Linked DNA regions of Drosophila melanogaster. The protein of the gene in region 1 purifies or fractionates together with the protein of each later gene. This does not show direct contact. Each region holds a gene or a part of one and is shown in the gene's direction. Other genes may lie near its edges.

Evidence for each region.
Region 2: the proteins of dgrn (region 1) and SMC5 purify together in Drosophila melanogaster (affinity purification with western blotting, with the first as the bait; one study listed by BioGRID). This does not show direct contact.

What each region holds. Positions count from the first base shown.
Region 1 is NT_033777.3:5,822,974-5,827,079, forward strand, and holds dgrn (degringolade), read left to right. Parts: upstream 1-1,641; 5' UTR 1,642-1,975; coding exon 1,976-2,002; intron 2,003-2,059; exon of another isoform or gene 2,060-2,062; coding exon 2,063-2,471; intron 2,472-2,525; coding exon 2,526-2,615; intron 2,616-2,831; coding exon 2,832-3,265; 3' UTR 3,266-3,603; downstream 3,604-4,106. Other genes in the region: Sec20 (secretory 20), read right to left, coding at 732-1,334, 1,388-1,468.
Region 2 is NT_037436.4:21,567,725-21,574,074, forward strand, and holds SMC5 (structural maintenance of chromosomes 5), read left to right. Parts: upstream 1-1,527; 5' UTR 1,528-1,654; coding exon 1,655-1,728; intron 1,729-1,796; coding exon 1,797-2,169; intron 2,170-2,232; coding exon 2,233-2,411; intron 2,412-2,532; coding exon 2,533-2,779; intron 2,780-2,831; coding exon 2,832-2,930; intron 2,931-2,995; coding exon 2,996-3,283; intron 3,284-3,337; coding exon 3,338-3,439; intron 3,440-3,497; coding exon 3,498-3,706; intron 3,707-3,765; coding exon 3,766-3,929; intron 3,930-4,007; coding exon 4,008-4,337; intron 4,338-4,392; coding exon 4,393-4,610; intron 4,611-4,666; coding exon 4,667-4,891; intron 4,892-4,961; coding exon 4,962-5,186; intron 5,187-5,251; coding exon 5,252-5,409; intron 5,410-5,465; coding exon 5,466-5,583; intron 5,584-5,643; coding exon 5,644-5,739; 3' UTR 5,740-5,799; downstream 5,800-6,350. Other genes in the region: CG7634 (uncharacterized protein), read left to right, coding at 1-3; CRIF (CR6-interacting factor), read right to left, coding at 411-1,109.

The sequences.
Region 1 (4,106 bases):
GCAATTAAATTAAATTGCAAAAGTAATATCAAAGACAATAGAATTATTCTAGTGTCTTTGCTTTGTTCATATCTTGAGGCACGAAGTGCGGACACAAGCACTCAACAATCATTGCCTTATTAATTTTTCACACGCCGCAAGATGAATACTCTAATGACAAATATTCTTATATAAATTCATTTTTGAAATTTATTTTTGTGATAATATGTACATAGATTTGACTATTTCTAATCTATTTTCAAATAATAATAACGTTAAGGCAATGCAAAACAAGAATTTTTCGCATGGTGCCAATTGATAAAAAATAATATAGATTTAAAGCCAAAGAACTTCTAAGGTGAAGGGCATATTTTGTCAAATTTACAATGCATGTGAATACGTGTGCACACATACAGATGTCTGCTATCACTTTGTGCGTTGAAAAGAGCTGTTCGCTGTAGCGCTCTTCGCTCTCTCGCTCTCTAACAAAAATTCGAGAGAGCCTGGAGCCACCTCTAGAGCCACGGCCAAAAAATCGTGTGCCAAAAAATCGTATGGCGTTACGCATCTTGTTATTCTAGGGTCTTTGGCTGTACCACGTTTACAACTTAGGCAAATCACTAAATAATATAAATATAGGAGCTGTGCTTACAAGGTATGGTCATGTGCTAAGCTTAATCTAGCTATACCTAGACAACAGAAGCGACAACCTTAAGCTATTTTGGGAACGGGTTTTGTCCATTTGTGGAGTCTTAGAAGAGTCGCTTTTGGACGATGTAAAAGACACAGGCGAGGAACAAGGAGAAGGCGAAGAAGAGCAGCATTTTGTCAGTGCACTCGCGTCGTCCGTACTTTTTGAGCAGCTTGCCGGACATGCTAATGCTGCCGGCCGTGTGGTGCAGTTCGTCGCTGGTGGCCTCCACATTTTGCGACGAGGCCACGAGCGTTTCCAGGGTGATGGCGCTCTTCTGGGTGGTCTCCGAGAGGTGCCGCGATATAGCCAGCATCTTCTCGGTCACGTCGTTCTCCTGCGAAACCAGACTGCCCTGGTTGTGCCGCGCCCGTGTTGTGGTTCGTTGGCGTAGCTCACTCTCGCCGGTAATGGCCATTAACTCCTCCCGATTGGCCTTCTCGATCTCCAGCATCGTGGACACGTTTGCTTTTCGGAACGCCTGCAGCGTTTTGGAGAACTGATCACGGTGGTCGTCCACTTCATTGGCCAGCGCAGAGTCTGCCGTGTCCCGCGCCCAGTCGTCCAGCCGCTCGATGCTTTTGCGGATAGCAGACAGTTTGGAGCGGCCCGCTTCGTTCAGCTCCTCGAGTTCGGCGATGGAGGTGCGGCTGTTCAGGATGTCCTAAAAACAGAAGCTCGGTAATGAGGGTTTCTCTTCAGATAGCGGAGACTTACGTGTATTATTGCCTTAGCCTGCAGATTGTTATCGATAAGGTCCTGCCGTATGGCCTGTAATGTAAACGCATCCTTGTCCATGTCTCCAACTTTGTTTTGTTTCGAAAATATTCTATTATTCTGCTTTGGTGACGTGCATTTAACGTTAATTCCCGCAATTTTCTAACACTACCACGGCACGGTATATATCGATGGCATTTAATCGCCTAAAAAATATCGTTTACATAGTGATGGTATGGTTTTGTAATGTCGACATATTTATATACATTTCTTATAATTATTTTGTTATCAAAGAATTTCGCCGAAACGGAAATTTTATTTTTAATAAATTATTGATTTTTATTGAATTACAAGTGTCATTCTAAACAGCATTGTATAATACCGCAAAAATCGATAGTCGATCTTAAATCCTTGTTCCCGAATGTCCGTAAAGTGTCATCTTTAAAATAACCGAATGGTCGCGTGAAAGGAGGAAACTATTTTGCACATTTCAATCTGCACTAAAGCACATGTATATCTGGGTTCACCTGCTTTTGTCTTTACTACGAAATCATTTCACAAGTTTCCTGGTCATTTGTTGCTCGAACAATGTCAGATTCGACTATTTTCCGTTTTGTAAGTATACCCTGGACTTTAAACTAGTTAATTCCGATTTATGATTGATTTATTTAGTAGAACTCATCCATTCTTGATCAGTCAGCGGACAGCAACGTATCCAGTTCGAGCTCCAATTCCAGTGTATCCGACTCTTCTGTGGACTCCCATTCATCCATAGAATCCAATTCGGGACACAATACATCCGTGGAATCTCAGTCATCCGCGGAATCTGATTCATCCGCTGATTCCCATTCGTCCTTGGAACGCCCATCCCCAGTGGAGCGTGATTTATCTGTGGAATCAGACTCATCTTCAGCCACCAATACCAGCGAATCTTCAGTCGGAGAAGCTTCAAACCAACTGCAGTCACCGCAAAGCAATAACCCCTTAAATATGGCTAACTTGTCTGTCTCGACTGAAGATGCTCATTCGCAGATCAGATCACTTACCCAGGATGTGATCCAGATGGAAGCAGAGTTGGATCGCAGTATGTCACTCCATAATCATTACGAAGTTTTCTGTTAATTGTTTCATATTTCAGTGAATCGCTACTGCGAGGAAGTTGTGGCACAGATTGACACCTTCGCCACGAGAACCTCAACGCCAACAACTCGTAGAATTCGCCGCAGAAGTAAGTGCAGATCAAAATGAACGCATCTGGGTTTCACAATGAACAATGTTTTTAATTCCACAATAACCAATGACATAGTTCTTTCTATAACCCTGCCGGGTTACTTACTTTTGAAGGCAAAATTTATCTATATTTTTTAAAATTTTGTGAAAACCAGATAGCTTTCGCGGATAGAGCTAGCAATAAACCGAATACCGTTTCTTACTTTTTCCGTAGCGAGTCCAGTAGAAGTGATAGATCTGTCCCATTTGGACCGTGCACCACCTGTTCGATCCGCTCGGAATCGTGATCCCGATGCTTTCATCGATCTATGCACCCCCGAAGGCCCAAGAAGTCGCACAGTGAATCTTCACTCCAACGACTCCCTCACCATTCTGCCACGTCGGTCAGCCGAAAATGACCCGGTAGTGGATCTCGACGTTGCGTCGCCACCAAAACGCGTTAATCGCGACATTGATGAGTCCCAAAAAGAGGAGTTATACAAGTGCCCCATCTGCATGGACAGTGTATCGAAGCGCGAGCCAGTGTCAACCAAATGTGGACACGTCTTCTGCCGCGAATGCATCGAAACAGCCATCAGAGCTACGCACAAGTGCCCAATATGCAACAAGAAGCTGACCGCACGTCAATTCTTTCGCATTTACTTGTAAGTTGCTTATACTATTTCACATTTTTTGCTCTGTGAGCCTTAATATAATATAGTTTAAAAAAAAACGCTTAACTATGTTAGAGACGGCAAATAATGTCTGTTCTTGTGATTCAGAAAAAATTAGTTATTTAAGTTGTCCTATGTAATCAGTGGCGCCCAAAAATATTTGAATACAACTATAAAAACTAAAGACTTCACTTTTGATGTATGAAACCATCTCAGGCTAGAATAATATAAGAACGACCGAAAGGAGTGTCAAAGTATTATGTAGGCATTTTTCCAAACGCAATTTAACAATGTAACATACATATAATATAATAAATAAAATGGTCCCAACGCATATCAACAGGTTTGTCTCAATCTCATTTTTTATTGTTGGCTACTATTTTTTGAGACAGAAGTCAGACATGGAATTCTGAGATCATTAAAGGGTCGATAAAACAGGATAAATTGGAAACAGGTGGAACATGAAGTGTCTTTAAAGAGACTTTTTCCCTCCAATTTTGTATATATATAACAATATATTTTTTTTTTTTTAAACTTCATTCTATTTATTTTGGTTCCAAAAGGAATCGTTCGGTCAATTCCTCTGAACTTAACCTTATGTGTGTATAAAGGTATATTAGACCAAGTGGTTTCTTAATTATTAAGTACAAAAGGGAAAATGTATCTAGTTATTAATTACTTATTGTGTAAGGGTGTAGGGAGATCGGTGGGGTGTACCCTCTTCAGCCTTCGGAGGGAGATGGGATTAGATAGGCTATTTGCTAGTCGGTTCGGGTGGACCATAAGCCTGTCGGCATAACGGCTGCTGTGAAAATTAATCTGATCCCCAAGAGGGG
Region 2 (6,350 bases), on another chromosome or scaffold:
TAGAGCTTTGTATTATTTGTATAACCAAAAATATTGATTAATAAATTCTCAGTGCAATTATAATAGTGTAGTGACCTATTAGATACCTATACTCAAGTACCCCTGCGTATTTGGAATTTGCATTCTTATTATCAACTTGCAAGCTCCTTCATGGCTAGATCGACTCGGCTACTGATCCTCTTTTAAAAATAATGCTTGTGTAACGTATATATTACACAAACATCGGGCTTACTTTTCACTAGTCTAAGCAAATTCTTGTCTTAATTTATAAAAATATAAAATATTTTGCAACACTTTAAAATATTTTATGGGAGTACAGATAATAAGTGCTCTTCTTTTTGCAGTGTTTTTATTTTAGTGTAACATACAACAGTTCTTCGCTTAAATCGATGGTTTTGATACTACAAATATTACACTGATGCTTTCTCTACCAGCTTGGCCATCATCTTCTCCTCCTTGGCCTTTCGCTTGGCCTCCTTCTGCTTCTTCTTGTCCTCCTTCTCTTTTTGCTCTAGCATTTCCTTAAAGCGTTCGTCGCGTGTATCCACCTTGAACCCGAAGTGTCGGCGCACCTCCTCTACCAGGCGTTCCTTGCGTTGTATGGCTGCCGCTGCATCCGCCTCCCGCTTAGCGATCTTCGCGTGCAGGTCCGCCTTCCACTGTGTCAACTTCTCCATCTTCTTCGCAATGTCCTCTTCACGGGCATTTATCCTTGCCAGCTCCTCTGCCTTCTGCGCGCGGTTCTTCTCCAGCATTTTCAGGAGTGTTTCTAGTTGCATAACCTGCCTGCTGTCTTTCTCTCCGTGGGAATCGAAGCAAATCTTGGGATTCACATTGCTCTGGGCCCCATACCGGCCGAATGCCTGTCTCTGGTACTTCTCGGTCAAATGAATCCAGGAGTGAGGTTCCTGGTATGGCAATTTGTTAAGGAGCACATTTTTGTGTTGTGGTTGCAGGCCGGATCTGTCCACCGTCTGGGGATATGTTGGTTCCACATCCACGTCGCCGACCAAGGAAGCCGGCAGTTCCGCTTTCGCAGCGCTCGAGTACTGGGCGCACGAGCGGAGGGCAGGAAGTCTGGTGACAACGCTTATCTTGCCTACATTCATTTTGAATTGTATTGTCTAAGCAAAATAGTTTATTAATTTCCAATAGAGATGAGAGAAAATCGATAGCGATGACACCAATGCTGGCAACTAAACCCTTTTGGAGCTAAATTCAGATATTTTTTAGGCCCCGTCAGAAAGATAAGTAATAGATATTAATTGTTGTGACAGTCTGGCTGCATCCCAGCTCAAGCTCTATATATTTCTTTTTTCCTTGCTATTTATTTCTATCAATTTGTAATTATCGTTTCCACGATTTGTTACTGACATTTTACTTGTCAGTTTTTATTCCGAAAATAGATTTCTGAGGCTTAAAATTATCATTTTTATGTTGTCAGCTCAAAATATAAAAGAAACATAAATTGATTATACATACGGGCGGCGCACAAGTGTACCCTTAATATACCAATCGTTATCGACAACAATGGTACGTGCACATATGCCCTAATGCAAAACTAAATTCTTGAAAGCGCGGAATTGCATTTAAAACAACTCGTTTTACTTAAGTTGAAATAAGCATTTGCTCGGATAAAAGCCTACGCCACGACATGGCGGGGGATCGTGCCTTAAGTTCCAAGCAATTGGCGGGGCGCATACATTCCGTGTACTGCAAAGATTTCGTGTAGGTTTATTTCCATCAAAGGCGCAAATTGACAATTTCGCGGCTCATTTGATTATTTCCAACAACAGATCCTACAGCGAGATCACATTCCATCCGAAGCACTACCTGAACGTTCTGACCGGTCCCAATGGCAGTGGCAAGTCCACCATCGTGTCGGCCATAATTTTGGGCCTCGGAGGGGAACCGATTCTCCTTGATCGCTCCGCCAGCGTTGCCGACTACATACAGAGCAACAAAACCTCGGCCACCATAATTGTCCGGGTGTATGGACGCACGCCCAACACCACGGAAACCTTTCGGCGCATAATAAACTCTAATGGCTTGTCTACCTTCTCTGTGAACGACAAAGACACCTCCAAGAAGAACTTTTTGGCTGCTGTATCCTCCTTTAACATACAAGTCAGCAATTTGTGTCAGTTCCTCCCGCAGGATCGGGTTCAGGTATGTCGTTATGTTGGCAATTCATAAATTACACACCTATTTATTGTAAACATACTGTTTCAGGACTTCTCCAAGATGAATCCTCAAGAGCTTTTGCTCAACACAATGTCCTCCGTGTGTGACGAAGACCTGATCAACAGCTTCAACAGTCTAAAGCAAATGCGCACAGAACAGGCGAATGTCCATGCTAATCGGGAAAAAGAGAAAAGTGATCTGGTTAAGAAGCAAAAACGATTGGAACAGTAAGATATAGTTACCCGAGCTTATTTTTATTCACTAAGTAAAATGTAACCAAATGTGTGGATGAAGTACAAAATTTTAATTCTTACTAAAAACCTAATTGTCTTAATATCATTTTATTAGCTTACAAATGACTGTGTCCCAATATAAAGAACGCGAAGAGGTCAAGCAAAAGCTGCAGGTGTACAGTGCGAAGAAATTGTGGGTTGAGACTCAGGCTGGAGAAGCCAAGGCCGCAGAAATGAAAACTCAAGTGAAAAACGCAAAAACTCAGAGCGACAAATTGAAGAACCAACATGACAAACTTCTTCAATCCCAAGAACAAATTGAGAAGGAAAAAGAATCACTCAGAAAGGCCTTATTGGAAAAGGTAATGGGTGGCAGTGTTTTTTAATATATTTTTTAAAAATAAGTTTTTTTAGACACGCTTATTAGAAAACGCTGTAGCGGAGAAGGCGGCTATTGATGGTAAAATGGACTCTTTGAAGCAAGGAATTTACCAAAAAAAATATGAACTGGAGGTTGGTGTTCTTGTTGCATATATCGATCATGTGAATAACTCTTAATCTTACATTCTGTCACATAGCAAAACATTAAAAAATCACGAAGAACGGCCACAGAGTGTGATAACCTAAATCAGTTGGTGGAGAATAAAATTTACGAGCTTGAAACCCTAAATAAGAGCAGGCCTCTGATCGTTTCGGAACTTGAAAGGGCTAAGGAATCGTGCGCAGCTGCCCGCGGGAAAGCAATGGAGCAGTACAGCAGACGGAGACAACTGGAACAAAAACTGAATGATGAAATGATTCCTGAAATTACTGCGTATAAACTTAAAATAGAGCGGTTGAGAAACGTCAAAATGCAAAAGATTGATGTAAGTTCTTACTGAAATAATGAAAACTCAACTTAACGCTACCTTTCATTTTAGGAAATTAGAGCAAAAAATCCGAATTTGGTTGTGGCCATGAACTGGTTGGCGCAAAATAAGCAAAGGTACAAATTGAACGTTTATGACCCAATGATACTTGAGGTGAGCTTTTCAAAATGAAGCCATTACCAATGGCCTAATGTTAAAACCGCTATCATAGCTTACAGTACAAAATCATGAGGACGCAAAGTTTTTGGAAAACGTTGTGGCGCAGCGCGATTTATTTGCATTTGCGTGTGAGGACAAGGGGGATATGTCGGACCTGATCAACGAGTTGTGTGTGAAGCAAAAATTGGGAGTTAACGTTATTTACTGCGCACCATCCGATAGACTCGTGTACAGTCCCAAAACTCCCATCGATGATCTGCGGTATGCACTTGTCAATTGTCCAATACTAGTCCAATACCTAGTTTTAAATACTTTTACAGCTCTTTCGGATTTCGGTCATACCTCGTGGATCTTGTCACGGGACCAATACCACTAATAAACAAGCTGTGCGCTTCCTATTCCATTCATAATATACCAATTGGCACAGAAGCTGTGGGCAATTACACTTCATCCATTCCAAAAGCTATCCGAGTTTATTTCGGCGGTGTGTATATTTTTCTTATTCGGTTTCGCTTCGCAAATGTATAAATTCTGATTTTGAATTCCGTACTGTGCATTTTAGGCAGCAAGAAGTTCGTTGTGACCGCATCCCGCTATCGGTCGGATACTATTCTAACTGAAAGTAGCATTCGAGCGAAGAACCAACTTATTACAGTGGACTCACAACAACTGGCCCTGGTGATGAAACAGTGCTCCGAAGCAGTGAAGGAAAGCGACAGCATTAAAAACGCAATAACCCAGACCGACAATGAATTTGAACGATTGCAAGCTGTTGCAAAGGATGAGCAAGAGAAGAGACGAAAGCTTGACCAAAAAATAGCCCATTTTAATAGCCTGAAAACCGAAATTGAAACGCTCCAAAAGAAGCTGGAAGCCCTGCGCAATAGCGATTGTAAGTATTTCTTAGTGCACTAAATATTCAGCCATTATGAACCGTGTTTTTTCAGCGCTAGACTGTCTTGAAACCAATTTTTGTAACAGTTTGCATAAAGACTTAAAAAAAATATTCGATGCTGATGCGGAATTGTGCTCGTGCTTGAAAGCTATTGACCGACTTATAATTGAAAAGAATATGGCCCAGACAAAGGTATCCATTTATATGCTGCAACATGAGACTCAAATTGAAGCCCTCAAGGAAAGCGAGGAACAGAGTAAAGCAGCAACCGTAAGGAAATCGAAATGCACTTAAGGAATTTATTTATAGGAATGTTTTGCTTGCAGAGAGACTTCCAACAGTTGCTGCAGTGCTTAGAAAATCAAATTAGCGACGTTAACAAACGAAAGAGCGCTATTCAGGGCCTTTGCCACGGAGAAATTCCAACCAGTAGCAAATTTCCTTTTAAGAAGGAATTTAGGGAGCTGGAAAATATAGATTTGCCCGAACTACGAGAGGCAATACATGACTTTCAGGCACGATTGGAGTGCATGAAAAGTGTAAACTCCGAGGTAAAACACTCTTTTAAATTAGTGAACTGAAGCTGATATATCTAATAACTTTCCATATTAAAATATGCAGGCCATCAGCAGCTATCAAGGACTGCAAAATGAAGTCAAGCAACTGGAGGAAGGAATTCAAGAGTCTGTTAACCAAGCAAAGAGCATCGAGTCTGGCATGTCCAATTTATACGACAAATGGGAGCCCAAACTTAATAGCTTGGTAGAAACAATCAGTACCAAGTTCAGCGAATTTATGGAGTCCATTGAATACGTGGGAGAAGTTGTGTTATCCAAAACCGACAAAGTGAGAACTTAAACTGTCCTACATAAAAACTTTACTTCAAATGTATTTCACTTTATTAATTCTAGTATGACTTTGACTCATATGGTATTCAGATAATGGTCCAGTTCAGGAGAGGTCTCCAGCTGCAGCCGCTGGACAAGTTTATTCAATCTGGTGGCGAACGCGCAGTGTCCATCGCCATATACTCATTGTCCTTGCAACATGTCACCCACGTGCCATTCAGGTGATTGCGGAACCCAGCTGCAAACTGACGCCCGATTTATAGTTCTCCATTTCTAGGTGTGTCGATGAAATAAATCAAGGCATGGACGCTACAAATGAACGTCACATATTCGACTTGCTCCTCAAAGAAGCCACCAAGCACGGCTCGGCTCAGTATTTATTTGTAACACCTAAGGTAAATATAAATGCTTATTCATTTAAATATTTAGTTAACTGTTTTAAATCTTCTTTGTAGTTGCTTCGAGACCTGAACTACAACGAACATCTCTGTGTTTCCATTGTTCACAACTCAAAAACTGTTTGCCATGGCATGCAATTCCCGATGGCTTAGACACTTTGGGTCATCCAGATTTACTATATGTATTTTTTTATATTAAACACTACAAAACATATCTATTGCATTTTGTCGAATGACCAGCCTTGTGGGGACTCCTTTTCGAACTGTTGGCCTACTCGGAATAAAATCTGTAAGCCGGTAAACAAGTCCAAAGGCAATGATGCCTGACGATTTGTTTTATCAGATTTCAATTTGTCCTCGATTTAAAACCCTACAACAGCACCTATATCTTATTTCATATGTGAAATGATTTTAACACTACAATGCGAATACTTTTAAGTAAAGAGATGCCTTTGTACATATGTTTTTTAAGTAATTGGATAAACTATTTTGGGATGTTAAAAAATATATTTATATTTATATATATATTTATATATATTTAGATATGCAATTTAATGCAAATCATTTCTTTACAGGGTTAATATTAAGCAAAGTATGTCAAAAGTATGATCCCTCGACGCAAACTATAAAAGTTCAGGTTAACTTCAGATAGATGGTTAGTTTTTTATCAGCTCCAAAGAAGTCGGGTTTTGATCGCAATCCGTGTGTGCCCTTATTATGGTTGGGATTTTTTAGATCAGCAGTTATTGCTATATAGCCATATT